Oreochromis niloticus: one gene and its partners. The protein of the gene in region 3 interacts with the protein of the main gene of each other region in a pairwise test. Links are inferred from orthologs where the notes say so. Each region holds a gene or a part of one and is shown on either strand. Other genes may lie near its edges. The genes, in order: esd, coro1a, fsd2 and pbx3b.

Region 1 (7,886 bases), on a different chromosome or scaffold from region 3:
AACAAAATTACTGCAACAATTAGTGCGACTTGAGATCTCGTTGCCTATTGATTGGGAGACCAATCTGTAAAAAAATCCAGTGCACTTACCTGGAAATCACAGATTCTTCCTCGTCACAGTCCAATGTGACTGAGGCTTAATTGTTACCATCACAGTGAACTTTTATTTTCTTTATAGATTTTCACAATTTACATAGCTATTTCTATATCCCTAAAAAGCTAATATAGCCATGTATTTATTACCAGATTTGCTGTTATGCCACCACCTTTTCACCCTTACATTTTAAACATATCTCCATTACTTTTAGCAAACAACTTGAGCATTTTTCAGTTAACCCTTAACCCCTAACCCATAGCCATCTTTTTAGCCATTACTTTGAAGCTACTCTTAAAAAATGTTGCCACTATTTATAGATTTTTTTTCATTGGATAATAGATTACTTTACGCTGTTAGCTACTTTTGGATATTGATAAATACACATTTTTTACATTTTTAACAATTAAAAATATTGAACAACCTATTAATTGCTCTCAGCTATTTGTTTCTTTCAGCAAACAATTTCTCCACTTAATTTTAGCTAATTCTGTAGTCCATAACTATACACCTATCGCTTTCAGCTAATCATTTAGCATGGTTAGCAAACTTAAAAATCTTAAGCTAACAGGTATAAATTTGAGGGTAAACTCTATAAATTAAAATCATCATCATGCTCTTTTTCTCTTTTTTAACCAAATTGATACTAATTCCAGCTTTTTGCCCTCTCAGGTCTATTTTCTCTTCTCCAGTTAAACAAACAATGCATTGCTTAGCACCTGTCATGCATTATACGAGTCAGGATGTTCCTGTCGATTTATTTACTAAGCTTTTAAACAAGAGAAAACTAATTAACTAATCTAAAAGACAGAAATGTTTAACATTTACAGACTTTAATCTAATGGATCAAGTTAAACAATGACTCAAAAACTCACCAGAGAGCCAGTACATGACGGGACACTTGTCGGTCTCAGCCTTTGGAGGCAGATAGACTGCAAACTTCATCTTACACTTCAGCTCAGTGCTGCACAGAGTAAATACAAACAAGTTAGTGCACTCTTCTGTCACATTTATACACTTTTACACACATGAGAAAGTCACTGAAGGTGAGGCCAAAGGAGTGTCTGAAGATGTGTCACACCTTTCATGTTCAAAAACCTTCTGGAAGCCGCCAGCGCACTTGTTGGAGGACACTAGTGTGAGGGCCATCTTTGATCTGAGGACATACAGCAGCAGAGTAAACGCAAACACAGTGTACTCCTGCTTAAAGTAACTCAGACTACATCCATCCCACATTACTCAACTTGCCATGTACCTTCTGTTTGCAGAAAGCGGCCAATTAGAGGAAAGCAGGGTTAAAGGGGGTTGTTTCAGTCAAAGGATGAGCTGAGAAGCTAAACTGAAGCAACATTTGAAGTAAATACAGGTTATTTCGATCATGAATCATACTGAGCTTCTCTAGCTGAGTCTAGGAAGATCGGGGGGGGGGATATAGAGCTAGAAACTAGCAAGTCTTTGAAATATGGACTGCCTGGCTTTCAGAATCAGAATCAGAATCACAAAGGGTTTTATTGCCAAATGTTGAGCAGGTTTACAACATTAGGAAATTGCTGCGGTACTTAGTGCAAACATACTGTTATACAACTCTTAAATAGACATAAAAATAAGAATTAAAAGTGCTAAGAGGATAGATATGTACATGAGTGCAAGTGGTGATCAGTGCCAAACATGGAATGATGCAGTGAACACAGTGTAGGGTCATGTGTTAGTGGTGGGAACAGTCATATGGTTATTGTTCATGAGTCCAACAGCAGAGGGGAAGAAACTGTTCTTGTGGCGAGAGGTTCTGGTGCGAATGGACCGGAGCCTCCTGCCTGAGGAGAGCAGGTCAAACAGATCAAACAGGTCAACATATCCTACTACACCCTAATCATGTGTAATACAGTATTGTGATATAACTGTTAGTTACTGTCCACTTGGATTGACCTTGGCTTAGTTGTTAAAACTGTTTATTAGCAGCAGCACTGATAATAAGTCAGGTTAAGCAGCATTCCCATTTAAAAGAACTGTAACACTCCATACATGGCTCCATGAATGAACAGGTAAACGCTCAGCACCAACCCGAGAACCTTTCCATAAATGAGGCCCCGGATTTGATAAGCACAAATGCAGGGAGTCCAAACAGTAACAAGGTAGATGCAACTGATGTCGAGGTGGTTGTGAATAAGGTTCAGTTTAACTGGGACGGCTAAGAAGCGTCCGTTACTTTTCCACTGTACTCACGAGGCGACGTCGCTGCAAGTACAGTCGGCGAACTCTGAGAAAAAGCGATAAGTCTCAAAGTCTGAGGCAGCTGCAGCTAACAGAAAATGTCAAATCTGACCACAACAGCACCGAATACAACCACAGGTCAGTCTATAGGCTGCTGTCACCCTCCAGCCTTGGCTTAAAATAAAGATAACCCCTGGTACTAACGACAGTGACCAGGGCAAAGCACGCACAGTACAACATTTAACCCAAATGACGTCCTGCATGATGCCGAATTAAACATAACCGCTTCCTATACATGCAACATGTCTTTTAAACCATTCACACTAAGCTTTTATTAAGATTATACCCAGACGGAGTTAAAATGGTCAGCAATACAATACGAGTTTGGCGTGCAACAAATCGGGGGCGTGCAGGGATTAGCAAGTAAAGTTAGCCCATGTAGATATCTTTGAGTGGCATTTTTAATTTCTGCTTAAAGTTACATAAGTGAAAACACGGATACGCGGCAAAGCAGCAGCAGAACACATGACTAACACATACCTTATTAAATCAATCAGTTTATCAGTGTAACTGGATAAATTGCTAACGTCCCCGCCGATGCAGTGCAAAGCACCGAGTCCACAGTACGACAACGTCAAGGTTGACGTGATGACGCCACCCCCTAGAATTGTGCAGCACTTGACGTAACCCTAGATAGACGCTAGATGGCGCCGGTGTTTATCAGGAAGAATGCTGCACTGCTAGTCACAGAGCAATAACCAGTAATACTTTTAACAATATTGTTAAATTATAATATCATGTTGTTTATAATATAATATATGTTGTTTATTATAATATCTTTATTTTACTTGTTTATCGGAATAAATTCTTAATATATTAAGAATTAAATCATATGCCTAAATCATGTATCATATTTTAGGAATAAAGCTGTAACATTATAAAACAGTAAAACAATTAAATGGCAAAGGTCTCAAAAGTAGGTTTTTTTCACTGTTAGACCACAAGATAGAGGCTTTTCATAGTGTCATGTTGTAATAGTGTACTCATTCTAATTAGTTTGGATCTGTAGGTCTACATAATTTGTAGTAAACCTGAGTGTTTTAGGGGGCACCTGCATTGCCCATGAATGGATGCATTACTCAGACATGTAATAACTGGTAACCTCTCTTTTCCACTTTTCAAAAGCAGAAGAAATCTCACTCTATGATCCAAGATAGACAGAAAATTGCATTTCTCTTCCTGTTATTTGTTTAAATTGTGTATGAAGTCTCGTTTCACTCCAATAAAGTCTGTCTATGTTTATCTGATTGTCTCTGTATGTGTGTAATTCTGTTTCTCTGCAACTCTCTCAGTCTGTTTTTACACCACCTCCCTAACTCCCTGCAGGTTTGCATCTCCTTTACTTTTCCGTCCATATCATCAGTTTTTTCCTGTAATCTTCACTCTCTTTTACCGTAAAGCACAACTTAGATTGTGAATTATTTATTAAATACAAACAGAGTACACTAATACTTGTGCCCAGTCTGTCTCTGCAGCTGCTTCCTAAATTAGACCATTTCAAATCATCCACCACCCCCTCATCCTCCCACCCCCCAACTGAAAAAAAAAAACACAGATTAAATTCACTCAGCAGCCTCAAATACACTCCCAACATGATTATGGTTACGCCTGCAGCCATGTGCTCTTGAGGACTCCATTGAAAACCGAATTTGTCACACACAAACAGTTTTCCTGCTCGTAATTCCATCGTTCACACAGTCGGTCAGGTGGAAGGGAAAAAAAGTAACGTTTCTATAAAAGAGATAATATTTTCAAAAGTAATGTCATATTTTAATAATTATGCCACAATTTTATTTTGAGAATAAAGCTACAATTTAGCATTCCAGATTTACAAAAGTACTGGGAATCTAGTCTTTATATATTAAATATTCACAGATACCTAGTTCAACTCTGAAGGCTAAAAGAAAAAAATGCTCTTCAGTTTTCATATTATTATTTGCTCGTGTATGAGATCAGCCGATCCCTGTGTCATCCCAGTAAGACTAACATTTTGCAGTCAAATCCATTGCTATAAAAGCATCATCAGGTGATGAGAGCTGATTTGGCTTCTCTGCGATGCAGAAGGCAGAGCTTTTGTCCCTGCATACGAAGTGGGGCTTTCATCAGTAATCAGCACCGTGACTTGCTGTGGAAGTGCAGGTTAACTACTGTTCTTTTGCAAGGAAGAATCTGACAATCCTTAAGATCTTATGTTATTTCACATCATTTTCCTTTATTTAACCAGGTAAGATGTCACTGAGAGCAATATCACTGACCAAGCATCTAATGTTAAATATATATATCATACAGACAATTACACAGTCTATGATTAAAGCTAATGTCAAACTGAAATTTGATGATAGTGTACAAATAAGTGGTCAAAATGAAGTACAGAAATTAGATTTAAGATCCTTTCCTTACTGGCGTCCACCACCATTTGCAGATCCCTCCAGCAGAATGGACCAACACATTTAAATGGTTTTATATCATGTATGATGAGTTTATAATGGAGGAACCAAGTGAAGGACACAAAGGAAGGCGAAATGAAACACAAGCAAAACAGTTTGTTGGCTGTTTATCAGTTCCAGTTCTTCCTTGTTCTCCAGACTTCTTGAAGGACATTCAAAGCTCTTCTTTGGATCTTGGCTGCCTTTTGTTCTGTTCTCTGTCAAGATGATCCCACGCTGCTTCAATAACGTTGATGTCTGGGCTCTGAGGAGGCCAATCCATGACTGAGTGTGTCTAGTCTATAAAAGTATGTTTTTACTGCATTGGCAGTGTGTTTGGGATCACTGTCATGCAGAAAAATGAAGTTGTTGCCAATCAGATGCTTTCCAGATGGTAATGCATGGTGGATCAAGATCTGACATGCTTTTCTGTGTTTGCAATTCAATCAGTTTTGACAAAATCCACAACACCCCGAACAATGACGGAGTCTCCAATGAGTTTTACAGACGGCTGTAGACATCCACTGATGTATTTCTCGTCTGACTTCCATAGAAGTGAACTAAAATTTTCAAATTTGGGTTCATCACTGCATTAAACCTGCTGTCAGTGATTCCAGTCCAGCTCTCATTTCCTTCCTTAAGAAAGGCTTCTTGACAGCGACCCTTCCATTGAGACCATTTCTGATGTGGCTTCAGGGATCAGTAGTCACGTGCTCTACATGGTAGATTGGAAATGATTGGGCTAAAACTGCATAGCTAAATGTATATAAAAGCATCCACAGTCAATTTATAATCACCAGTCAACCTCAAGAGTATATTGAAGCTCAAGCACTCAAAGAGAACCCACCCATGCAAACCCAGCTGACCAAGTGGGTTTGCATTAGATAAGATATATGAAGTTTAACCGGAAGGTTGCCGGTTCGATCCCCCTGCTCTCTCTGTCATGGTCATTGTGTCCTTGGATAAGACACTTCACCCTACCGCCTACTGGTGTTGGCCAGAGGGGCTGATGGCGCGATATGGCAGCCTCGCTTCTGTCAGTCTGCCCCAGGGCAGCTGTGGCTACAACTGTAGCTTGCCTCCACCAGTGTGTGAATGTGAGAGTGAATGAATAGTGGAATTGTAAAGCGCTTTGGGTGCCTAGAAAAGTGCTATATAAATGCAATCCATTATTAGTAACTTTAATCTGCAATCTGAATACGTTACTGGAGTAAAATGAGAAATCTTTAAATATAGCAAGTCACACTACGCAATGTTCCTTCGCAGAAGCTCAGGTTGACCAGGCTGTGTTCACCTGAATGTCTAATGCAAAGAGAGAAGGCAGAAAATCTGCTTCTCTTCTTCAGAATAACTTTTTTAGTTTTACAAGGGTTTTAGCAGCTTGCTAGGTACACACACAAACATTCACATGTACACACGTGCACATGTTCTGCTGAGAAACCTTTGATCATGGTATTCATGTGCATGGTTAATTACCGCTATCCCCACCCAACAATCAGTGCTGCAGATTGTTGGCTCAGTCCAGCAGGAAAATACACGCAGCGCACCACAAAAACTGCTTAGGAATGGCTCATTGAACACAACATACTGCCCGAGGTGTTGACCCAGCCTGCAAACGCTTCACATTCCAATTCGACTGAGCATCACGATCCACAAGCAAACAAGCTGCTCCCACTGGGCATATGCCAGACGCCATAGTACACCCCAAGAGGTCCCCAGCAGGTCAGCTGTTTGTGAGAGCATAAAAGAGGCCCACACAATATTACACAGGTAGCTTGCTGCTGTACCACATGTGCCCGAGAGAGAACAACAGAACAATAACGCAAAGAGGGCAGAAAAGCACACACACACTCACACATACCGTTGTCATGAATCCCACTCAAGCAAGTTATTGGATTCTGTTTCAGTCTGATTAAAATCACAACATCCTGACACGTGCTGACAGACTAACGACTGGCTTCTTCTCTATACTGTGAGTTTGTGTGTTTTGTGTGCTGGCGTCACTTGTGTTATGGGTGTCTGTTTACAGTCAGGTTGGCATGTTAGGGGGACTCGTTTGGGGAAACTGTCAGGGCTCCAGTTTTCACAATACAAAAAGACCGAAGACTTCCACAGGGAAACACAAAAGACCAGAAAAATACTCAAAATGACAACAAAGGGATCCAGAAATGATTACACAGCGACAAGAAATTACCACAAAAAGACGGGAAGAGCACAAAGGAATACAAACTAGGAAAAAAGACACAAAAGGCAACAAAGAACTGATCTACTGCTTAGGAATAATGGGGCACACAAAAATAACACTCACATGTTGATGTTTAGTAGGTGAATGCTTAGCATGTTCACTCGTTCCCTAAAGAACACTAGCTTTGGTGCTTAAGTAGCTCATCCCATTTGAGTTTAGCCAATAGGATGGCCATCAGCTGATATCAGGTAGCACTGAGATCAGCTGATACTCGGGATGAGATGATTCTCGGGCTGCCAGAACCAAAGCTCTGCTTGATTAAAGCTCCAAGGGGTGTGAAATATGCCAATAGAGTAACTGTCGACCGTTTCAGTGTTTGCATATAAATGATGAATTAAAAACCCATAAGAAATGAAAACATAATTCAGTTTCTATTTCCTAATTCTGTCTATTAATAAGGAGCTAATAACTGGATTGGACATGTGATCTTTTAATTACTTCATTTAAATGCAAATTTAATTAATCAATTCATTGTTTTAATTGGCTTTTAAAAATGGTAATTTCATTTGACTGATAGTAAATGAACACTGGAAAAGTTTTTAGTATTCCATTGCTTCACTCTCGACTCAGGCAACCACACAAAGACACAAAAGCCAGACCAGAGAGAAACTGCTAAATGAGAAACACAAAGAAATGCAAAACATCTACAAAAAAGCACAGAAAGAAATGAGGCAGAAAACAACTGCAAAGATACATAAAGTGACACCCAGGAGAGAAAAAAAAGTCTACAAAGGTGTCTTGATGCATGCTCAATCATCCAGGTAAGAAAATCCCAAAAAGTTGATTCTGTTCAGCCGCTCACTGTGGGCTAGTTTCATTCATTGTGCAAAGGTACTGTTTATACAGTTGGG
Region 2 (7,841 bases), on a different chromosome or scaffold from region 3:
GAATATTCCGTGTCAGACTTTATTGCCTTACCATGACACTGCAGTCCTCAGAGCCACTGGCAATGATGTTGTCATTATGAGGACAGAACTCGATGTCCAGGACCGGACCCGTGTGGCCACATACAGTGGGGTAGGACATGTCGATACGTCCTGTCTGCAGAGGCAAGCATCAGGATAGGAGGACATTGACTATGACTCATGCATGCAGTGCAGAAAACACTGCAGCTACAAAACGTAAAGAGCAAAGAGCAAATGGAAGAAAAAGAAGACAAAGCTAGATGAGGAGAAGTTTATCAGCTGACACCAATTACACAGCTTTGCCTTCAATGAGCGCTCATTTCTATTAAGTGGGTTAAAAATGAGATCAGGGCCAAGAAGAGGAAACCCAGTCATGAAGCTGTCTGGGAAAAATGACAATTACACATCATTTTTATTTTTATATTTTCCATTATAAGTCAGTCACATTTAGCTCCATGTAGTTGAATTCATTCTGGTAAAACCTTAAAAAAACCACTGGGCCCTAAAGCAGGATGACACAACCATGCCAGCATCACGTTCAAAACAGGATGAGTTTTTTTCCACTACAGCGCAGCTCTGCAATTTTATGCCCACTGGTCCCTGCACTTATTTTTGTCCTTTGAGAATCGCATGCTAGACGCGAGATAAGACCATGAATAATGTGATTTCTGCAGGCTTCACAAAGGTAAATTTAAGATCGTTTAAAATCGCCTTTTTAATACCACAAAGTGGGACAATATAATTGTCAGGTAAAATAAGGACAAGACGTTCAGATTCTTGTCACTTTCATTTCTAATGATATAATTAGTTGCAGGAGATGGTAATTAAGTTTATGCTAGGAGACAGTGATCTCTCTGTAGCTAACTGCAGCAGCAAGCAGCAGTGACATTATTCAGTGAAAAAAGAGTAGACATCTTTCTGAAGTACAGTCTTCACACCACAATCACATAAAAAACACCTGACCTCACTGTAAGCATTTTCAGTGCCTGCACACAACGAACTTCCCAAGCCCGAGTGAACACAAAGGTGATCAGGACAGACACTTCACTGAATTCACAGCCTCTGACAAATTCAGCTGGCCATTAACTCGGCTACAAGGTTTGCAATTTTGCACTTTTTCGGGCACATAAAATGCAATAAACGAGCTGCAAGCCCTAACCTAACGCCCTCTTTAAGTGACTGCACAATAAGTGGGTTGAGGCCACATCCTGTCCTCCTACACTGAGCTGACAACAAACTCCTAATATGGTGAAAACTTCTCAACAGCAGAGCAAGTGACGTGTAGACAGACTCAAAGACAGCATCAAACTTCCTTATTTAGCTGAATGTGTGATGGTGACTGGCAGCATTCAAATTTTAAAGTGCAAGAATGCTGCTAAAACAAAATTTAATCCCCAACCTGCATCTGTAATAGTTAACACACCTAAACATGGTATTAAGAGAAGTATATAAAACAGTATAGAGCCAAACGGTGGGTTTATTTGTGTTCTTTTGTTTCCTGGTGATTCCTGTGACCCACCTTGCTCAGCGGAAGCACCATGAAGGCTCCCCCACCGCTGGCGTCCACAATCATGGCCACAAACTTGGGGTTAACAGAGCAGAAATTGCTGTCCCAGGTCATCTGGGAGATTCGGATGTCATCGTAGCATTGGTCAGCTTTCACAGCCTGGCCAAAGACGTGACGGAACTTGCTGGTCCTCACAACCTTTCTGGACATGGTGAACTGAGAAAGAATGAAAAAAAAGTGCGCAAAGAGGAGAAAATTAATGTGCAAGAAGAGCAAGAAGTCTGTAGCAGAGTTGAGAGAGATTTATTTTATGGGTCATCATAAATCATATTGTTTGTTGGTGCTTTTTGATTTCATGCGGAAATAATCTGACAGACACAAAGCTGATGAAACCGTTGAAAGACTCAACAGAGGAAAGCTAAAAAAGGAAGAAGCAAAAGCTTTCACAACTGCTTCCTCTGTGACTGGTACTCTGGCACTCTATCGCCTTCTCTTTTTAATATGTGTGTATGAAACACAGAAATATTAAATAGCAAGCAAATGTACAAAAAAAACAGCAGAAAGGAAACAAAAAAGTAGGCCTTTTATCATCTAAAGCACATGCAGTGTCCTTAAAAAAGGTACAGAAGCTGCCCGAGCGGCAGTTACACCACATCCTACAAAGAGAGTAACAAAACCACAAACCTTTCTTTCCCTTAGTTCATACAGTCATGCTGTTATTTAATTCCCCGCATGTAGGGCATGCTTTAAATGACATATTTGACGAAGTAAGCTGAAACATATCCAGTAAACGCATGTGTCTGTGTGCGCAATGAGATCAGAACTTCAATCAAAAGCAGCTGCAAAATATACGAACTTTGCATCACGCAGGAACAGATGAAAAGCACTAAATAAGTCTTTCTTTACCTCCATTTGTAGAGTTTACTTCCTGAAATCTGCAGCCGCGCCTAAGCTCAGATTCGGTAGCGTATGACAGTTAGTTTTGCTGCATGTGCATCACAAGACCTCTCGGGCTTCTCTGCAGCTAATTTAATAATCCTTTACAGAGTGAGCCGTAATTTTATCAGGACTCTAAATGCATGTCAGTAATCTGTCTCGACCACTATCTCTCTGTGTTGTGATGGAAAACATTGACCAGTACGAAGTAGGAAACAATTCACTGCCTTGAAATAGGAGAAACTCAAGGCCATGTGGAAGATGAGAAACAAAAATGTGTCACTGAAATTAATGACATACGGTTAGCTTCAGCTATTTCCCTCTTTAACCAATGCACCGATTGCAGGTAAGATGATATCTTCAAGAGGTTGAGACTGCAAAGAGATGATGTGGGCCTACCTGGGAGTCGAGTGGGGGTGATTCAGCTCAAGGAGTTTTGGCAGTGCACCAAACGCCCTGCCACCAGAATGAGAACACGAGAGGAGACTGTAGGTTAAAGTACATGACAAATGACAGGGAGGAAGTGAGAGTTTCAAACAAGGTGGAAGTAGGAGGTGTCGGCTGTGACATGTGCCGTCTGCAACAAGCTGCAGAAACCAAAGTGAAACACAGGGCACTGCATGAGATCTTTTGTAGGATTGAATCATGATAAAAGTGTCTAGCGGTGCAATGCAGAGTTCAATCCACACTTACCAACAACGGCAAACAGATGCAGGCCACTGCTGCTTAGAAGTCACCTGATTATCAGAACCACTTCACTTCCAACAACACAGATAAATGCAGTGTGTCTGAAGAGCTCACAGAGTTTAAGTTAAGAAAAAAACTCAATATTTTCTTCAGTGATGGATGTCAGTGCATGTCTGTTCTTTTTGACTCATGATTTCTGCAGATATTAGAGTTAAATACTCTATAAGAGGCTTCTCATCTGCTGCTATTATTTTATAAGATTTATATAAGGCATCAGACAAATCCTAAGACAGACAAAGAATCCTAAATTTAAATATGTGGGAGCAAGAGCAAAGATGGTGGTAAAAAAAAACAGTTTTTAAGGCCTAATTTTCAGTTTTTAAGCAGTTTCTCGAGTCTAACTGGGGACACCTGCAGTTTACATGCTGATGATTGCAAATGAAATTAAAGTTATTTAGATCATGTTTCAAATAACCTGTCAGAGTCTGAAGACTTGAGACTGGCTTCTTAAAGGACCCTGAATTTCAGGTTAACCCCTAATCTAACCCACTTTATTTACATATCACATTTACAGCAAACTGTTCTCACACCAAACCTAATTAGACTTAAACTGGCAATCAGCTGTTTTTACACATGATGCCACTTTATTAGTCATGATTACTCAGCCTGTGGAAAGGCTTACTCTTACATTATGGGAAATGAGGGATGCTGTAATTTAATAGTTTAACCATTGCAAGAGGTTAGCAAAGAAAGTAGACAGGAGTGCTTGGAGGCTAGGTGTAGTGGAAACTGAGGGGTGGCAAAGGCTTGGTGAGTTGTATCTGAGGCTGGACACTAAGGAAGGAGAAAATGACTTGGTATTGATCGGCTAGGCAGAGAGATCGAGCTGGAAAAGATGTGCAGGGTGATTAAGGAAAGAGATGAAAATGTACTTATGAGTGAAGAGAGAGTTGAGAAGGTGGAAGGAGTATTTTGAGGAGCTGAGTGAAGAAAATGGGAGAGAGGAGGACAGTTAGTGAATCGGGAAGTGCACGAGATTAGAAAAGAGGAAGTCAGGGCAGCCATGAGAAGATGAAGAGTGGAAAGGTGGTTGGTAAAGATGATATACCAGTGGAGATGTCTGGGAGAGAGGGAAGTGGACTTGATAGATTGACAGATTGTTTACCAAAGCCTAGGAGAGTGAGAGGATGTCTGAGGAAGGGAGGAAAAGTGTACTGGTCCTAAAGGGCAGTATAGTCAGGTTTTTTTTGCTTTGAAGAGAGTTGATGGAGAAGTACATAGAAGGTCAAAAGGAGCGTCAGTGCATCTTTGTGGCATATGTTAAGGTGCTAAGAGAGGAACTGTGTTGCTGAATGAGGAAGTCACGAATGACAGAGAAGTATGTGTGGTGCAGGACAGAATTCAAAGTCTGTGTGGGACCGCTGTGAACCCTTTCTTCATTGCAGTGGTGATGGACAGGCTACCAGATGAGGTCATTGAGGAGTCTCCATGATTTATGATGTTTTTAGAGCACATTCTGATCTGTAGCAAAAGTAGGGAGCAGTTGCAAAGGGAGCCTGGAGAGGTGGAGGTATGCTCTGGAGTGAAGAGCAATGAAAGTCAGTAGAGGCAAGGCAGAATATCTGTGTGGATGAAAATGAGACAGGTGCAAAAAGGGAAGATGCATAGGCTGAGCAATTTGTAGGGGCAAGGCTGAGATGGTTTGGACATGTGCAGAGGAGGTGAGTGGATGGTGAACATGGAGCTGCCCAGCTGGAGGGAAAGAGGAAGACCACAGAGAAGAGTCACAGATCTTGTGAAAGAGGGTTGGTGTGACAGAGGTGATTGCTAGAGACAAGGTGAGATGGAGGCACATGATCCCCTGTGGTGACTGCTAAAAGGAGCAGCCAAAGGAGAATCATTTGAATGCATGGGCCTCTAGGTGTGCTCTTTTAAACCTCTTTTAAATCCTTCAACTATAAGGAAATGCAATACTCAAACAGCAGGGAGAACTTTTCAACTCCTAAAATTCTAAACTTTTATTCTATAAGTTTTATTATAAAAGCAAACTCAGTCTAATCCCTGAGTAGCAGAGCTAAAGCACTTCCTGTTTTTTGTTGTTTTGACAGAAAACCTCATGCACACATGTTTTTACACTTGTCCTCACAAGTGTAAAAACATGTGTGCAAATGACACTCACATATCATTTGGTTTAATGCAGCAGAACTAGGACAACTGTATTTCCTTACCAGGGCATGCCTACGTCACATTGGACTATAGTACTTTTTTTTTCTGGGAAAGCCTTGCATACTGCAGCAAGACAATGCAAAACCACATACCACATTTATCACAGCAGCATGGGTTTATAGTAGAAGTGGTTAGTCTGCAGTCCAGGCCTTTGACCAATGGAAAACATTTAGTGTTATGAAACCAAAAATACAACAAAGGAGACCCAGGACTGTTAAGCAGCTACAATTGTCTGTCAGACAAGAATGGGGCAACATTCCTCCCTCAAAAGTCCAACCTCTGGTGTCCTCCTCAGTTCCCAGAGGTTTACAGAGTGTTGTTTAAAGAAGAGAGGATGCTACACAGTAGCAAAAATGGCCCTGTGCAAGCTGTTTCTGAGATATATTGCTGCAAACAAACTCAACATAAACTGATTTATTTCTTAAAATGTATTTCCCTTTGCAAATACCAAAGTCCCCCAAAAAGAATTGATAAAAAATAAATAAATAAAATATAAAATAAGCTTTAATTTCAATGCATGGAATCACCAGTCAAATATAGTAAGACCAGACTTATAGTATTTACCAACTTTGGCCCCAATAAAGATTTTAAAACATTTTATTTACTCTGGAAGTTACACTATAGTACAACAGAGTATTAGGGCCACATTAAGAAAAGTGTCCATTTTGAGATTTAAGATGAAATTTCAAGATTAAACTCAAAATAGTATTTTGAGAAAAAAGTCAAAACGTGAATATTACAGTTGTCATTTCAAGCCAGACAACTGCCACGGCTCCTACAACCCTCTACAAAACCTGTAGATGAGTTAGTGAAACATCTGGACCAGCTGTGATACAGCATACATCCTCTGTACTGGACAAGGGCGTAACCATCGATATCCTTGCCACTGCCAGCCTTTTGTTCAAATCTGCCCAACTCTTCTACTTTTGTGTGTTTTTTCCTTCTAGCCAGATGCAGCTTTATGCACCGTCTTTTCAACATCCTTATACTTATAGCCACAATGTGTTTATGTGCTAAAAGAGAAACTGATTCTGACATGGCTGAATTCATGTGGTTTGTTGAGATGCAACTTTGACTGGCAGCTGTTTGAATGTTTTACATCTGTGAATAATCTGGGGTGTACAGTATACAGTACAGTTAGATATCAGCCTGTGTGTAGGTAATTCAATTAAAATCAGCCAAATCAGAAAAAAGATTCCCACCTGACCCCCTTCTTGTAAATGTTACTTTGAATTGCACCATTTTCACTCACACATTTGTAATTCTTTCAGCAGACAGAATCTCAAACTTAAATCTGACAACCATTTAAAAATGAACATATAAGAATTAATTTTGATACAAGGGGAATCAGAGGGGGGAAAAAAAAATCAGGTTGTTTTGGACGTATCAGAACAAATCCAGGTCTCTGTCACTCTACATCCTAGACAATAAACTGTTCAAACAAATTTAAGGAACGCTTTTTAATCAGAGTATAGAATCAAGTCAGTTGACTTTCTGGGACATTCGGTGCCAGTTTAGCTCTGTGGGTGAGCAGGCGACCCCATGCTGCGTGACCGGGTTTGAGTCCAACCTGTGGCCCTTTGCTGCATGTCTGTCCTCCTCTCTCTCTCCCTGCTTCCAGTCTGTCTTCACTCTTACAATTCAATGAAGGCAAAAATGTCAAAAAGCCCCCGCAGGATCGCTATCTGATGAGCAATGCCAGAGCCTCCAGCAGGCCACTGGTGTGAGGGCTGGCCTGAGGGCTTGACGCCCTCTAGTGGGCTCTGGCAGACATGACAGAGTCCGGAGAATATTATGCAGCCTCTAGCGTCACTCAGCATCACCGGTTTGGTGGTCGACACACAGACCTCTACAGGCTCAGCAGTGATAACCGAGATAACGGGATGAAAGTTTTGAACCCACTGTCAGACTACACTGGTGTAGTGTGTCCTGCAGTTCCTGGAGGATGAAGAAATTGACACCATTGACTGGGCCCCACACTCATCTGACCCAGTTCAATTGAACACTTGTGTGACATTATGTTTTGGTCCATCCAATGTCGCCAGATTGCACCTCAGACTGTCCAGGAGCCCAGCGATGCCCTGGTCCAGCACTTGATGGAGATCCTCCAGGAGAACCACTCTGAAATGCTGCAATGACATTTTGGCTACCTGGACTAGCCTCCCACATAACTTTTCAGTGTCTTTGAATTCATAATTTTCATCTCCATCAAATGACATGGCATCCTTTCGTTCCAGTCATATCGCTGTAGATATCCAGACTTGATTTTGTTTCCCAGTGAGATCTGATGTGTTTTTAATTTTATTGAGCAGTGTACACATCCCGTGATACTGATGCTCAAAGTTGAAAATTGTTCTGAACAAAAAGGAGATCTAAGATTTAGATAGTGACACCTGAAGTGCATCCACCACCTGAAAACTGTCTCTCTCCTATAGTTAGCCGCTGGAAAATATTAAAGGATTAAAAG
Region 3 (7,557 bases):
CTGCGGTGTGAAGGCACTGTCTGCTGGTGTGTCCTCCAGCACCGGCCTGTAGTAAAGCTCGTAGTACTCCACCGTGTCATCAGAGAACAAGCTCCAGCACACACGCAGGGATGTCTGAGTGGCAGAGTTGGGCATCTGGGGATTGATTACTGGGGCAGATGGAGCTGGGGGTTGTTTGACAGAGATTCACTGTAAATTCAGCACAGTTATCAAGAAGTCTTTTTAGAGTACAAAAATCTAAATGTTAAGACAGCTCTGTTCTGGTTGAAGCTCAACACTGACACCTCTGTGTGCTTCCTATTATTAGGATTCTCATTTTCAGTGACGCAAGAGACGGCGTGTTCCTAGATTTGTATTTTTCAAGTGACAGAGGAGGTGGCGGAAAGTGAACCAGAGGAGGCGATTTGTAGATTCAGACCTGGAACGACGTTGATCGAGTCCATCATGGTTTTGACATCTGACAGGTCAGCGAGCGGTGTGTTGAATTCAAGACTTGTAGACAGCGTGAGGTCAACCTCATCTTTGGCAAACTCCTCGATTCTAGTGTGGTACAGAACAAAAAAAAAGCCCTGATTTTAAAAAGCGTGCAGTGCGTTATCAGGCTAATGATTACTTACAATGTTCAAAGTTTGACCATAAAATAAATACTTTACGTGCTTTTCATCAAGCATGCAAGCATGTTTTGTACAGTGGATGGAGTTTGGGTCTGTGGGTTGTGCCCATGAATGAACATGAATGATTGAAGTCTGAAGAAATAAGACATATTGTCAGTTTAACAGCATTTGTCGCAAGTCAGCCAACACAACCATATTGAGATGCCATCCCACAGCAGTGTGTGACCAAGCTGGTGACCAGCATGAGGAGGAGGTGCCAGGCTGTTGTGGCTGTGTGTGGATCTTCCACGTGCTACTCAGGGCCCTGTTTGTTAAATGAATAAATTGTTTCTTCAGACTTTAATCATCCAGTGCAATAAACTACACCAAACAAGAGTCAGTGGCAGAATAAGCTGACTGGTATTGGCAGAGGAAATTTGGCAAGTGTTTCAAAGGCGCAACCCACATACTCAACTCTGCTGCTCAGCCCACAAATGCATTTTCCCTAATAAATGTGGCTACATTTAAGGGGAAATAAACAGGCTTTCCGACGTATAAGATTTATTGGCAGGAAGCAACCTTACAAAAAAAAGAATTGTTGACCAAATACAAATTTCCTTACTTTTTGTGCTAAGTTTAGTAAGTGGATCTTCAGCTGGGATTTTAAAATATATAGAGTTAAATAAAATTAGTTTGAAACTAAAGGGAAGACAAATCGCACATGTTATTGATGCTCGGTCTCTTAATATCACACCTGCAGTGTCACACCGTGCAGACTCACTGTGCAGCCTCATGCTTACCTTTTAATTGTGGGCATAACTGTCTGTCAATAAAATCCAAAGAAATCACTTCAATAGCAAAATAAATGAATGAATAAATGCTAATCAATGCTTCATGTCCACAATTGCATTAGCTGGCCATGTTTTATTTATTTATTTATTTTTGGGGCCATCTGCAAATATGATCCAGTGGAATCATTTATCACCTTCAAGAAAAGCCTCTTGTCCTGGCTGCGGTAGACCTCCTGCGCTGTCTCGATGAGCTCCTTGGAGGCATCGAGTGCCCGACCGCAGGCCAGCAGCTGACCGTACAAGGCTTCCAGCTTACTCTTCTTCTCCTCCTCCAACCTTGCCGCGCTCTCATCCTGTCGCTGAGACAGCGTCTGCAGCACATCATTGTAGTGCTGTTCCAAGTGCTGCTCTTGACGGCCAAAATTCTCCTGTACGTGCAATAATATGACAGAGTTAGAGGGTAACACATTTGTTGTACAGGAAAGAACAAAGAAAAATGAAGAATTTGATGTAATAAAATTGGCTTGTGATGACTTTATTACTGTCTATGAGTAAAAAAAGAAAAAAAAGCATCTCTGCATATTCATATTATAATAAAACAGTAAAATTATGTCAAAACAAAGGAGATCAGACTGGACGTTTGAGTAGTACCTCCACTGTAAGGAAGATCTCTTCCAGATGACCAGCAAAGCTCTCCATCTCTGCAACCTTCTCTTGCAGCTGATCGCGAATCAAGATGATCTCCCCCTGAAAGCAGTCATAACACAAGCTTGAGCTCTTTCCGCATTTAATTCAAACCTGCAACACAGACTACGATGAGGGCTAACAGTTAAGAGTTTATGTTGCTGTTTACTATGAGTGTATCTTAATCAGATGTTCCCCTCACTCGGCTATTCATTTTACTCTTCTGTATTGTGCTACCATTCACACTGGCGTTCTCTCAGAGAAGTGATTAAATGCAGTGAGACGACTGTGGCTGAATAGAGGTAGTTAGTTAGTGTCCTCACCTCAGTTTCTCCCTCCTTAAAAGCATCCTCCTCACCATCACTTCCATCTTCTGCTCCAGTGGGAGATGGAGTTGAGCCTACATTGTAGGTCTCCATAGCAGTAGACTCTCTGCTTAACTCCTGGAGCTCGGCTTCCTCTGCAATCACACCCAGCCTGCCTCCTCTGATCTCATACAAGTCCATGATGACAAGGACTCAGGGGAGGACTGAGGCTTAAGTACCCGTTAATGTTCTGAAACTGCATCGGAGGAGAATTTAACAAAGCAGAACTGTTATAGTGAGCAAGCAGCTGATAACAAATTTACCTGGAAAATTAAGGGAGCTGTTTGGTTCTTAAACAACCTTTTCAGGCCAGCAGCAGTATCCGGCAGGACAGCAGTGACAGAAATAGATGGGACTGTGTTTGCTCACATTTCACAGGCATGCCAAACATCTACGCCGGAAGTTCGTTATTCATGAAATAGATTCATTAAACGTGATTGAAAGTCCGCAGAGGTCTGAGATTTGCTGACATTGTAAAGGAACAACAACTAAAAGTAAAATGCTTTAATTTTCAGGAGTTGGAAATCCCCGAACATGTGATTAAAAGGTCAAAGTTAAAGGCAGTACCAGAGACTTATGGTGCATTCAAGGTTCCTCGTAAACTTTAATTCAAGACGCATCAAACGCATTGGATTAGAAATTTCTGCATTGGGACCCGCCTGCTCTTAGTGACCCAGGCTGGGTTTTTCGTGGTTACCATTCTATGTCAAAACAGCGTATTCTTTAAAGGGTAGATATCTGTGTTAGTAAAACCGTTAGCTCATATTGACCGATAACTTCCGGGGCTGTTGAACGCAACTGACGTCAGACAAATGGCGGACGTTGTAAACAGAGCCAGCAGCTTCTCGGGGGCCAGAGTGAAACATCTCTTTTTAAGATGAACAGCATAGAGTGTGAGCGACTAGACAGTCTGGAGGGGTGGGTGGCCGTTAAAAGCAACATATTTGAGGAAGATGAGGCGTTTAAACTGGGCTTCATCGTACAGTGGAACGTCATCGAGTGCAAGTTCGCCGTCACCTGCCACAACCGGACGTTACAGCGGCAGAAGCGCAAATCCGAGCCTGCCGCCGACGACCCTCAGATGAGCTGGGCAGGACTCTTCTCCGTCAGCGATCTGAAGCACGTCCACCAGCAGTTCACCTGCGTGGCCGACGTCCTGGGAGGCTGCTTCCCGGATTTGACGGAGTTTGAAGAGGGTAACATTTGGGACTTGCTTTTCCTGAGTAGGAGATCAGGTCCAGACAATGACGACGAGAGGGACTATGACACCCCGTGTAGGAAACTCGAGAAGTATTTCAGCACCGCTATTGACCTCTGCGGACGGAAGATTGTTCTCGACACCTTGTTCGCACAGGATGACCGAGATGTTGAGGAGTACTTTGAGAATTTACAGGAGTTCAAAAAGAAGAGCTTGCAGGAGGAGATGTCAAGGGCCAAGGGTCACCTGAGACAGGTGAGGCGTAGAGGTGGGCGGATTGATCTAATATCGATACCAGCGCGATAGGCCTGAGACTTTTTCTGTTCCCTAAGTGCAGTATGTTGCCTACTGGATTGTGTTAAATAAATGTGTTTTAGAGGCAGGCACATTTACATTCCAGGTCTCCAGAAAATCAGTTTCCAAACACGTTGTGTTAACTAATTAATGTGGAAAGCAGAAATCACAGTGATTTAGTGGTCATTAAAATGTGTTCAGAATGTGTAAATTAATGATGAATCAATCAGTAATCATGGCACACTGCTCTCCCCTTTGTAATCTACATTTTATAGGGTAAAAGTATTGGCATTGGTATCGGCAACACTGGCCCTGTATCTGCTTGGTGCCCCACCTCTGATAGGAGAAGTCTTACAACACCTTAGATGCACTTAAAAACATGATTCCCTGAAGTATGAGAAAAGACTGCATGCTCTCTAATCCCAAGAAGTTTAAAGGTCTAGTCTGCCATATTAGCACCTCTCAGTTGTGGTGTGGGCCTAAATCAGGTCTACCATGACACAGCAAACCACAGCTGCTGTTCCAGCCAAGGCTCTAGATGTTGCAACAACACCAGCACTGGTCTTTGTTTGCTCTTGTTTGCTGCTTTAACCTGCAACCTGACCCTTTAGCTCTGTTTAGTTTGTTTCACATGCAAATGGAAGTAAAAGCAGTAAAATGACAGCCAATAGACCAATGAGGCATTTGAAGAGCAAAATACGTCAGCTGGACATTGAAGCAGAAATCTAGTTCCATTTGAGATCCACTGGAGATCGCTGGAATGCATGCCTCCAAGCTTATCATGTCCTTTTATCAAAATAATGTGGTCTGAGTTATGGTAGTTGAGTTTTTACATGCCCACACTGTACCTGTTTCCACAGGCATCATGATGTAGCTCGCTGAGCTGAAAATGTGCTTGTTGTGCTGGTTTGTTTCCTTACACAGATGTAAGGTTCTGATCAAGAATTGGTAACAGAAACAATGAGCAAGTGGACCTGTAAGAAAAACTGTTGATGGCACCGCTACAAGTAGATTAAATGTATCAGAATCTGTACTCAGTGTCGGTATTATGTCTACATAAACCACTGTTACGGATCTGCTGTATATGATACCTTTATGAAATCATATCCAGCTTTTGCTTATGCTGTCTCAGATGCAGGCTTGTGTTGCTGTGTTGATTGTTTTTGATATCTAAAGCAAACATGTTCCCTTTGTATGCTGGAAGATGTCAGGGCATAGATAACTCTTGATTTTCCAACTATTTACATATTTTGAATCCAAGCGATTTAACATTTTCTTAACCAAAAAGACGTCTCAGTTCCAAATATTTCATCACTATTTTCATCACTCTCACATAAAATGTTTTTTAAGACCTGAATTTGTTTGACTTCAGTGGTCAACATCGGAGAACCGGGTCCAAGAATCCCTGTGGTGTTCAACCACCAACCTCATCTTGAAGTGTCTTCACAAGTCTACCTTCAGCCCACCCAAGTTGTATTCTGAAAGGCCTAGTTATCGACTCTTATGTTAGCCGGCACGGATTGGATTGGTTCATTCTGAGTATGAAAAGTCATACAGAGCAAAACTAAGCTGTGGGCTCAGGGTAAACCCGGATCATGGTGTTTATGTTTTTTCATCTTCACAGCTGCTACAAAGTCACAGCGGTGCTGACAGGATGGTCGTGCTGCTCAGCATCTATGAGGAAGAAGACGAGGCCTACCAGGACCTGGCGACTGTCGCCACAACTTTCTTCCAGTACCTGCTGCAGCCTTTCAGGGACATGAGAGAGCTGGCCTGCCTTTACAAGATGGACATCCTTGTAAATACACACGTTGTTAGAATGTTGTACACGATAACATGCAGGGGATGCACTTAGTGTTGATATCAGAAAGTTAAGATTTTGATGAAAATGAAAAGGGAGGATTATGGTACATGTTTAATGTAAAGTGTTCTTTGACAGTGGAAAAAATGCTTTAAAGTGTTTTTTTACTATACTGTGCAAAAGTCTTGAGCCAACCCCTCATTTCTTTATATTTTGCTAGGAAAATGTGAAATAGGTGCAGTGATTTATCAAAACAGGCAGGTTAGCACTGTTGCCGCACAGCAAGAAGGTCCTGAGTTCAATTCCACCATCAGCCCGGGGTCTTTCTGTGTGGAGTTTACATGTTCTCCCCATGTTTGCGTGGGTTTCCTTGCGTGGGATAGGTTAATTGATTAATCTAAATTGCCCATAGGTGTGAATGCAGGAGTGAATGTGAGCGCGAATGGTTGTCTGTCTCTGTGTGTTAGAGTGGCGACCTGTCCACTGACACCTGTCCCGCCCTATGACAGCTGGGATAGGCTCCAGCACCCCCCCCGCATTTGTGATTTATCAAAACATATAAACATATCTAAAAATACAGTATGTGAGGCAAAATTGACTTTCAAGCTTGTTAGAATTGTACAAAGTTTAATCAACACAGCCTGAACACTCTCGTAGTTTTTTTAAGTAGCCTTCAGGAATAGTTCTCCAGGCTTCTTGAAGGACATTGAAAACTTTTCTTTGGATGTTGGCTGCCTTTTGTTCTGTTCTCTGTCAAGCTGATCCCGCACTGCTTCAGTAAAGTTCAGGTCCAGGCTCCGGGGAGGCCAGTCTGTGACTGATGGTGTTTTATTATGGTTCTCTATCCAGGTATACTTTTACTGCACTCGCAGTGTGTTTGGGATCATTGTTATGATGAAAAAGGAAGGCGTTGCCAACTAGGCGCTTTCTTGATAACATGGACCAAAATGTGATGGTACTTTTCTGTGTTCATAATTCCATTATTTTTAACACCACCCCTGAATGAAACGTAGCCCCGAACCATGACGGAGCCTCCACCGTGTTTTACAGATGACTGTAAACACTCACCGACAGTGATTTGAACCAAAAATGTCAAATTTGGGTTCATCACTCCATAAGATCTGTTGTCAGTGATTTGTCAGTCTAGTTCTTATGTAATTTGGCACACCTCAGCCTTTTCTTCTTGTTTCCCTTTCTTAAGAATTGCTTCTTTACTTCGTTGACCAGTAGATGGATCAACTAAAACATCACAAGGATCTCTCAGGTCCTGTGTCAGGACTTTCCTGGATGTATTCCTGTTTCTTAAAGACATGACTTCCACATGCTGTTTACCTGCTGTCGACAGATTTTAGACCTGCCACTTCTTTTGTCCTCCACTTACCCAGTCTTTTAAGGACACACTGTACATGATGCTGAGCTGCTGCTAAGTCTTCAGCTAATAGCACAATGAATAAAATGTTTTTTACTAAGTTGTCTCTTCTGTGTAAACACTGGTCCATGCTTCAGTAATTCATGTGTCATTGTTAGGTGTTCTCTAAGTCTGACTCCTTGGAAGCAAAATATAAATAAATGAGAGGTGGCTCTAGACTTTTGCACAGCACTGACCTATATGTCCTTTAGTGATCACATAAAGGTCTTTTTCACTCTTAACTGGTTCATTTGTTATTGCTGAGCCACACACAGCACTCATGAATAGACTGACCTGTTGCATCACTATGTCTAATGTGGTTCTCAAACTCTGTGATGTAGGTGAAAGAACATTATTTTTTTTAAGGGAATTTTTAGCCTTTATTTTGATAGGACCGTAAAGAGTATCAGGAAATTAGGGAGA
Region 4 (7,751 bases), on a different chromosome or scaffold from region 3:
AAAGTTCAAGCTATAAAAATTATGACACAAAACTTGTAATTACAACTCTCAATAATATATGAATGAAGTGTGTGTGCATGCTAAAGGTTTTCAATCCTAGTCCTAAAAAAACAGAAATAACAGAGTTTATGCTCATATAAATATATAAAAAGAAGATTTTTTTTATTATTATTTCACAATCCCTTTCTCTAACTAAGCTTCCAGGAGATGTGTTGTTTGCATTTTCCAAGATCAACCATCCACCTTTGCAGGAAGGCTTTCATACAACTGCAATCGAATTATGAATTTGCGAGCCTGTCGTATAATCTGACTAATAAAAAAATCTCTTATAAGTTGATAGCAAAACGTTGTCAGGTTTTACAGCATGGATTCTGTGTGATCTAGGATATGTAGAGCATATGCTACGGGACTCCCCCAGCCTCTTCACTGGCAGGGTGGTGAGTGTGAAATCTGGAGCGCACTTTATGTTCAAATCCAAGCAAACCAGTGCTTTAAAACACACTTGCATAAGAAAAAAAGAGCATCTTCAGTGGAAGAAGACTCTGCCTATTGTTCCGTGACAACGGGAGTTTCTGAGTGGTACGGTGACATATTTTTAAAAAGTGACTGATTCATTCGGTCAGAGGTCACCTATAACCTGGATGCAGGCTGTCATCAGCTCACTGAGAGGTAAAAAAATAAAATAAGAAATGCCTGTGTGCTTTTATTGATTCTCCAATTGCATGTATCACTGTAACGATGGAGTTTATAGTTTGATATTACAGTATTTTAGACAAAGATCTTACCTGTCTTTTCTTTGATTTCACAGAGAACGCTGAAGAGTGCTGGTTTCATTCTGTGACAGTTCAGTCCGTGTTTCCTGTTTCAGTATAAGAGAAAATAAAATACTGAAATAAGTTCAATGATAGTTCACATGTCTGACACAAACAGTTAAAAGGGTTGGACACGCTTTTAAGTTTAGTTGCCACTTTAATAATGTTCCAATGTTCCAAGCCTCTTCTTCAGAAAGTTAGCATTTTCTTCTAAAATGTATAATGTGTCATGCTATTTTTATTGGGGGGTTTTTTAATAAAAGCATTTCATAAATAACACCAAGCCCTAATGTAAATATTAGTCTCAGTGGCAATTCCCTGCATAACATGAGCCCACTGGCATTAATTGTGTTTCAACACCACGTAGACTTTTGTAGATGAATGAACATTTATAAAACACGTGCTCTCTAGGACAGTTTAACTAAAATGCTGTGCTTCCCTCAGTGGCAACTTTCACTGTGTTAAAGCTTTGCGAGGCAATAAATACACCTCAGAGTGAGATTATCATTAAAGCCACTCCAGCCTATTGTTGTGCATTGGGGAGTTAAGTTAAACGGGCCACATCTCAATAATGATGCGTTCGGCGTTTTTTTTTTTTCTTTTCTTTTTTTGGTGTGGCGAAGTTAATAAAACATATAAATCAACCAACTTTGCTTGCGCCTCGTCCAGACTTTGATCAGTTATGGTCATTATTTGATGCAGAATGTCACCAATGTCTTGTTTTCTTCCGTCTCCGTCTGTCCCATCGTGTCCATGTGGAGGCGGCAGTGCCATGCCTCCTTGTACCGAGTGGCCAGCCAGACTGACACCGCCGATCGACTGCATGATCCGGGCTTGATCGTCCATAGTAGCCGCTAAAGAGTCTGTGCACTGAGCCACACAAATTGAAAAACTCATATACGAAATCGGCTACAACATGTGCCGCAGACTGGAAGGATGTACGGTTGTGTGATTCTTCGGCGTTAGGCAGCACACACGCGATTTTTGTCAAAAATATGCAGCAGTTTTTATTATTATTATTATTTAGCGTAAATCTTGTGTCCAAGTTGTCGTCGCTTTACGCGCGGTCCAAAGTGCCAAAACGCTGATTTTGGCTGTGTTTGTAGAAAATCGCATAAATATTTTTTTCTCTTCTTCTTTAAAACTTGTTTGTCAAAATTGACGGTCCATCACATCCCGCACGGATCCTCATAGCAATCAGTCTTTTCTCTGGGTTTTGACGGGCGGTAGAGACAGAAACGGTCCTTGGTGGTCTCTCATTTATTAACGCTCTTCGTGGGATTCCCGGCGCATTTCCTTTCGAAAATGTCCAAATCCTCCTCGTGAAGCACCGGCAACAAAATTAAAAAAAAAAAAAAAAGATATCCGCTGTGAAAACGTGTAAACAAATAAAAAAAACAATCTTAGGCTCGCAGGTGTCAACTATAAATGTGCAGAAATTATCCCCGCGACAACTGACAGTATTTAAAAAAAAATACACAATCTGCAGCAAGGTTTCCAAATGTGACTACAAAAAATATGAAATGTACAAAAAGTTGGGAGATTTCTGCCTAGAAAAAAAAGCAACGGCGAGAAGAAATTAATTAGGAGACAACGCTGTATAAAGGCGATGCGCAAAAAAATATCTTGCCCTTCTGAAATTTATGAGCTCCAGCCTCTGCCTGTGTGTGTTTTATGTTGTTTGATGGCAGCGGTAGTGAGCGATTGACAGTGTGCCAATGCCACTCACTCAGTGCAGACGTGTCAGAGCAGGGAAGAGGGCAGGAAAAAAAATAATCACAAAAAAAAAAAAATACAAAATACGAAATGAAAATGCACGCTCCGCCCTGCAGAGGAGGGGTCTATATTCTTGTCACTTCTCGCCTGAACACCGAAAAACAAAATGTTAAGCGCTAGTACTTAGGATGGTGATTATAATGATGAAAGCACGGCTGAGTCCCCTCTCTTTCTTGCAACAGCGGCAGCAGGGTATCCTCGTTTCCTCACGCGTGCACGTGCAGCTATGTGCATATTCTCTAGCAATAACAAAGATTTAGCTCTGCAGCAATACAAGCAAACACATAATGAGAGTTTTTATACAGTTTGATGTAGAACTGCACAGTCCCTTGTAAGCCTCGGTTCAAGCCAGGCAAGCAGTAGACATGTTTATATTATTGGAAAGTAAAGCTCCTCGACCAATCCCGGGCGAGAATGACGAAGACTGACGAGCTCCGCGTCCTATGCTGGCAGATGCATGATGCCGAAAGCCCACCCACTTCATCCCTCCATCTTCACCACAGCTCTTACAAAAGGATGGGAACTTCTGATTGGTCGTTGCTACGAGTGACATCCACTGCACAAGCAGGCGGCGCTGCTCTGTGCTCCTTCGCAGTTGCTATGGCAGCAGACAAGTTGTTGAGCCGGAGGAATGGCAGCAAATATACAGTGCACCTCTACTATAAGCATCGAGATCAGAAAAAAAAAAGAAAATAGGGGGTTTCCCTTCAGTTAAAATGAATTCAGCGATAACGTGTAGGAATAAAGGATGTGGACAGAGTTTTATACGAAGAAAGCACATTTTCAAAGGAGGGCTTGTGTTGTGCAAAGACGTTAATGGTGAACTTTTGATGAATAGGCTTTGCTTGGTTCTGATTACCCTGCAATGAAGTGACAAAGTCACATAAACATTATTTAAGCACGGCCGTGTTGCAATATATGGTCTTGTTTGCTCAAGTGAGTTGTTAAATTCTCCACCAGCCACTTTTCTTCCACCCTGACATCACTGAATAAATGACGTCTAAGTAGTTTAAAGTGGCCCATCCAGTGTTTCACTGGACCTCTGAAAAAGCAGAAACGCTGCCTAAAATGCTATTTATTACTTCTGAAGAAAAGTGCTATATCCAGTTGGTAACTGTGTTCAAAGGTGAATGTGCAGCCATCAATAATGGAAGTGGGAGTTTCAGCAGGCAGCATGGTGGTTCAGCGGTTAGCACGTCTGCCTCACAGCCAGACTCCTGGGTTCAAACTTGGGCAGAGCCCCTCTGTGAGCGCACTCTTCCTTTACGTTATGCATGATTTCTCATAGTAAAATAATTTTTTTTAAAAACTAGCCTGCTGATTTGTACTGTGGACGCAAAGTACTTTACAATATACCAGGATGTAGCATGATTCTTCTAAAAGCACCTTTTAGCACACTGAGTGAACATGTGCATTTAAAATATCTATTTATTTAGTTATTTTTGCACAGTTAATTTCATCAAAATACAAACAGGATGTTCTGTATAGTCAACATCTGCCTGTAATTTTGACTATGTTGCATGTGTACATATTTATCAGATTTGGAATTAGCTTAATTCATGAAACATCAAATGTAGAGAAAAACTGTAACATTTTTGCCAAAAACAATCATAGATGTAAAAAAGACTAAATCATGCATGTGCAGCATGTATATCACTCTTTTAAGCAAAATTTAAAAGTAAATAGACTTGCAGAATGACAATAAGTTTATTTGTTTTTGTCATATATCTGTTTGGTTTTGCTTATTTGAAAGGTTTATGTTGACCTGCCCTGCGTCTACAGATGTAAACTACCAGTTTCTCTGTAATGTGACATCTTTGCATTTTAAACATGTCATGTATAGTTGACAAATATACATATTTGGTATATTGATGTTCATTAAACTGTGTTGATCCTTTTAAATAAAGAGAAAGAGATTTTTTTAAAAAAATGAAAAAGAGCTCATTCATTTTATGGAAAATGTAAGTCTGAATTTGATGAACACCAGAAGTTACTGTGACATGGAAAGTTGGCATCATGTTCAACTTGTGAGTCTGTCAGTGCGTCATCATGAAAAACTGTCTTCCTGGAGACAACTACTGTAGCGGAAACTACCACAAAAGCACTTCTGAGTATTTTGGCAGGTGTTTGTATGTCTGTCTGTGGACAGATTTTGTCAACACGGCAGTGTCGCAATTGTACAGTATAAAGCTTCAAAGATTTACAGATGTGATGCTGAGCTCAAAATGAAGGCAGGAATCAAAGATGTGTGTTGTTTGACCAATAGAGGGACTGCTGGGGGCTATGGCAGCTTCACAAAATACCACCTTCTTCTTAAGCTTGAATATGTTTGTAGCTCCCTGATTAAGTGTCTTTGTCATTTATATGAAAGTTTGATATCTACTAGTAACAGCTGATATTGTTTTAACCTTGCTCTATTTGTCTTTGTGTGTACGTCTACCTGTGTGTGTGTGTGTGTGTGTGTGTGTGTGTGTGTGTGTGTGTCACTGTGACAAAATGTGGTCGTCAAGACAATGTTGCAGAAACCACCACAAAGGCGTTTTTTAGTGCTTTGGCAGGTGTTCGTCTGTGTGTCTGTTGACAGATTTTGTCAACATGATAGTCACAACTCTGCAAGATGCAGTTGCAAAATATTATAGGTGTGTAGCTGACACTGGAATAAAGTAAGAGACTGACTATGGGTTTGAGACTATGGCTGTGGACTGTGGAAATCTCGCTGATGTGATCCAGTGTGTGGTCTTTACTTTCTCTATGGCAAATATTCAAAAACAGCGCGTTATAATAGTGATGTCACACATAGCTAACGCATTTTAAGCTCTGATGACACCTGTGAAAGTTACCTGTCTCATATAGATGGTAAAGATAGATACAATGTGGCATGACCATATTTTACATCACTGCATTATCTGTTCAGCATTATTAGAATCATCTTATTACTTCAGGAAGTGCTCCTTTTTGAATATTTTCCTGGCAGCTGTCAGGGGTCCACGTAATACTGTATTAAAATAGTGAATAGTTTTAGCGAATGATTCATCTTCATGAGTCAGAACTCAGTTGTGAAAAGGAAGCAACTTTTACTGAAAGAAATTCGTTTGAAGTCATGATACGGTGAGTCATTACTTAAAATAACTTTTCAGCTTCTGATTTTCTTACTAGAATAGGTCAGAAAACCTTACCTATAAATGAATATATAATTGTTTCACAATAAAATCGACTGACGTGGTCAAGTTAAAGGAAATCACTGATGCTGAAAGTTTGCATTAGTGTATCTACCAAATTCCAAAGTTTGAAATGTTCACATCACAATCAATTTCAACATGTGAAGACGAAAAAAACTCTAATTTGTCTTTAGTGGTCTGTGTGGTTTTGCTCATTCATTTGACCTTGAAGTATGGGAGCAATGCACTCCTGAGTTTAGTGAATGGGAGTCCCAGGACTACTGCATTTATCATTGAAATACTGAGCTGTCAAGTCACACTGCATACCTGTCAAGAGGGGCTCAAAGGTACGGCTCCGACTCCTCTCCTCTGTTGCAGTGCATGATTCTTCATTGCATTGCATAGCAGGCCTATTCGCCGTTGTTTTCAGCCATATGTCAACATAATTCATTTCCGTATGTGACAGCTCCTTACAGTAAGACACTGTGGGTCTACTAGTTGACAAAACCATCTTTACATAACCGAGGGGTTGCGCTAACCACTGCTGCTGGTGTGAAAACAGTGCAGGTCAGTTTATCTGAGGAGAAATAATTTAGACGTAATTTGACATGTTGTTTCCACAAGTACTGCATATTAGGTTAAATAAAATGACAATATTTTTACAAATGTGCTTAGCGAGGCATAGGAATAAGCACCTATGAGTGCAGAGACAACACTTTGTCATCATGCTTCTCATCGTGACATCTGAAAAGACCCACAGGTGCTGTGGAAAGTGACTGTGTTGTCATATTTCATTTAGGCATCCTTCTGCAAAGCTGTAATTGCCTAATTAGCTTGTTAATTAGGAGATTAGCATTTACTGATAGAGTGGCTTGCTCTGTTGTGATGAGAGTAATACAGATTAAGTGAGAAGTTATGGGTGCATGAGTTCACAATTTCGCTGTCCACAAAAAGGGTCAGAAATCATTAAAGGATTTGTGAAATCACCGGGTGTAGTGCGAGTGAAGATGTCTTTTCTCCCGGCTTCCTTGTATTTGAATTGGTGTTGAAGAAGGTGAGAGAATGCAAGAAGGCAGCCTGTCACGGAGCGGCGAGACACTTCCTGTTCTGAGTGTCGCCTGTATGATCCCCTGTTGCTCAGGGAGATTGAAGGAAATGACCTAGCAGACGGTGCCAGGGATATTACTAACCCAATTATAAACAGCCTTTCATCTGGTTTGGATATTTTATTTATTTCTTGATATTTGTCGCTGCTGTGCATGCAATTCATCTTCATTGTGCTTGTAAATGTTAGAGTGGATAGAAGTAGCATGAATATTGGTTTAATCTGCAGGAAGCAGTGCCATTAAACATTTTGACGTATATGCTTCTGATGCGGGTGCAAGTCAGGTAGAGTCAGGTTACTTTTATTCATGTAACACACGCTTCAACAATACAAATACACACAAATATCCAGGATGGGTAATACACATAAGGCAGACACAACATGATAACTCATAAACACAATGAAAAACTGAAGTAGAATCAAAAAGTATGTATGGAGAAAGTATTCACATCCTTAATTAAATTAAAAATCCTGCTTTCCAAAGCATTGTCAGCAAAATGTACTTATAGCACCAACATTAAAAGTATTCATTATGCAGGACTGTGGCTCTCGTTAATTGCATTTTCATGAAGCACTTTTAAGTTGAAGCTCATCGAGGAGGAGTTGATTTTAATTGCTTTATGTACTGTTGAGTGTAAAAATAAAGCTACTTACGTGTTTTGGACATAAAGTCTTCTTCTGCAAAGAAATTAGTGGAGGCTTTCAAGTGAACTTTAAAATACAAATGCAAAAGAAATAGAAAGCAAACTGAACACAGTCTCAAAAAGAAAATATAGATACAAAAGTACTAGTAAATAGTAAATATTGGTTGACAGTTTACAGGAAATACTGTATGTGAGGTTAAACTAATAAAACGTGATACCTCTCAACCATGTTTCTGGTACATGACAGAATTTTGCT

The links.
Region 1: the proteins of fsd2 (region 3) and esd interact in binary tests that used the Homo sapiens proteins (3 or more experiments, as listed by UniProt). The two-hybrid records come from large-scale screens. The link is inferred for Oreochromis niloticus from reciprocal best matches to the Homo sapiens genes FSD2 and ESD.
Region 2: the proteins of fsd2 (region 3) and coro1a interact in binary tests that used the Homo sapiens proteins (3 or more experiments, as listed by UniProt). The two-hybrid records come from large-scale screens. The link is inferred for Oreochromis niloticus from reciprocal best matches to the Homo sapiens genes FSD2 and CORO1A.
Region 4: the proteins of fsd2 (region 3) and pbx3b interact in a two-hybrid assay, tested with the Homo sapiens proteins (3 studies listed by BioGRID and IntAct). The two-hybrid records come from large-scale screens. The link is inferred for Oreochromis niloticus from reciprocal best matches to the Homo sapiens genes FSD2 and PBX3.

The regions. Positions count from the first base shown.
Region 1 is NC_031987.2:29,737,900-29,745,785, reverse strand, and holds the start of esd (S-formylglutathione hydrolase), read right to left. Parts: upstream 3,001-7,886; 5' UTR 2,845-3,000; intron 1,433-2,844; exon of another isoform or gene 1,349-1,432; intron 1,250-1,348; 5' UTR 1,243-1,249; coding exon 1,175-1,242; intron 1,058-1,174; coding exon 969-1,057; intron 1-968.
Region 2 is NC_031969.2:29,278,345-29,286,185, reverse strand, and holds the start of coro1a (coronin-1A), read right to left. Parts: upstream 3,012-7,841; 5' UTR 2,861-3,011; intron 1,742-2,860; 5' UTR 1,736-1,741; coding exon 1,538-1,735; intron 155-1,537; coding exon 32-154; intron 1-31. UniProt on the Homo sapiens protein: May be a crucial component of the cytoskeleton of highly motile cells, functioning both in the invagination of large pieces of plasma membrane, as well as in forming protrusions of the plasma membrane involved in cell locomotion.
Region 3 is NC_031965.2:13,696,079-13,703,635, forward strand, and holds the start of fsd2 (fibronectin type III and SPRY domain-containing protein 2), read right to left. Parts: upstream 3,004-7,557; 5' UTR 2,697-3,003; intron 2,630-2,696; exon of another isoform or gene 2,604-2,629; 5' UTR 2,575-2,603; coding exon 2,392-2,574; intron 2,132-2,391; coding exon 2,036-2,131; intron 1,813-2,035; coding exon 1,579-1,812; intron 1,417-1,578; coding exon 1,394-1,416; intron 541-1,393; coding exon 419-540; intron 165-418; coding exon 1-164. Other genes in the region: whamm (WASP homolog-associated protein with actin, membranes and microtubules), read left to right, coding at 3,311-3,886, 5,298-5,434, 5,495-5,507, 5,550-5,723.
Region 4 is NC_031977.2:11,506,180-11,513,930, forward strand, and holds the start of pbx3b (pre-B-cell leukemia transcription factor 3b), read right to left. Parts: upstream 3,013-7,751; 5' UTR 1,710-3,012; coding exon 1,462-1,709; intron 866-1,461; coding exon 786-865; intron 1-785. UniProt on the Homo sapiens protein: Transcriptional activator that binds the sequence 5'-ATCAATCAA-3'.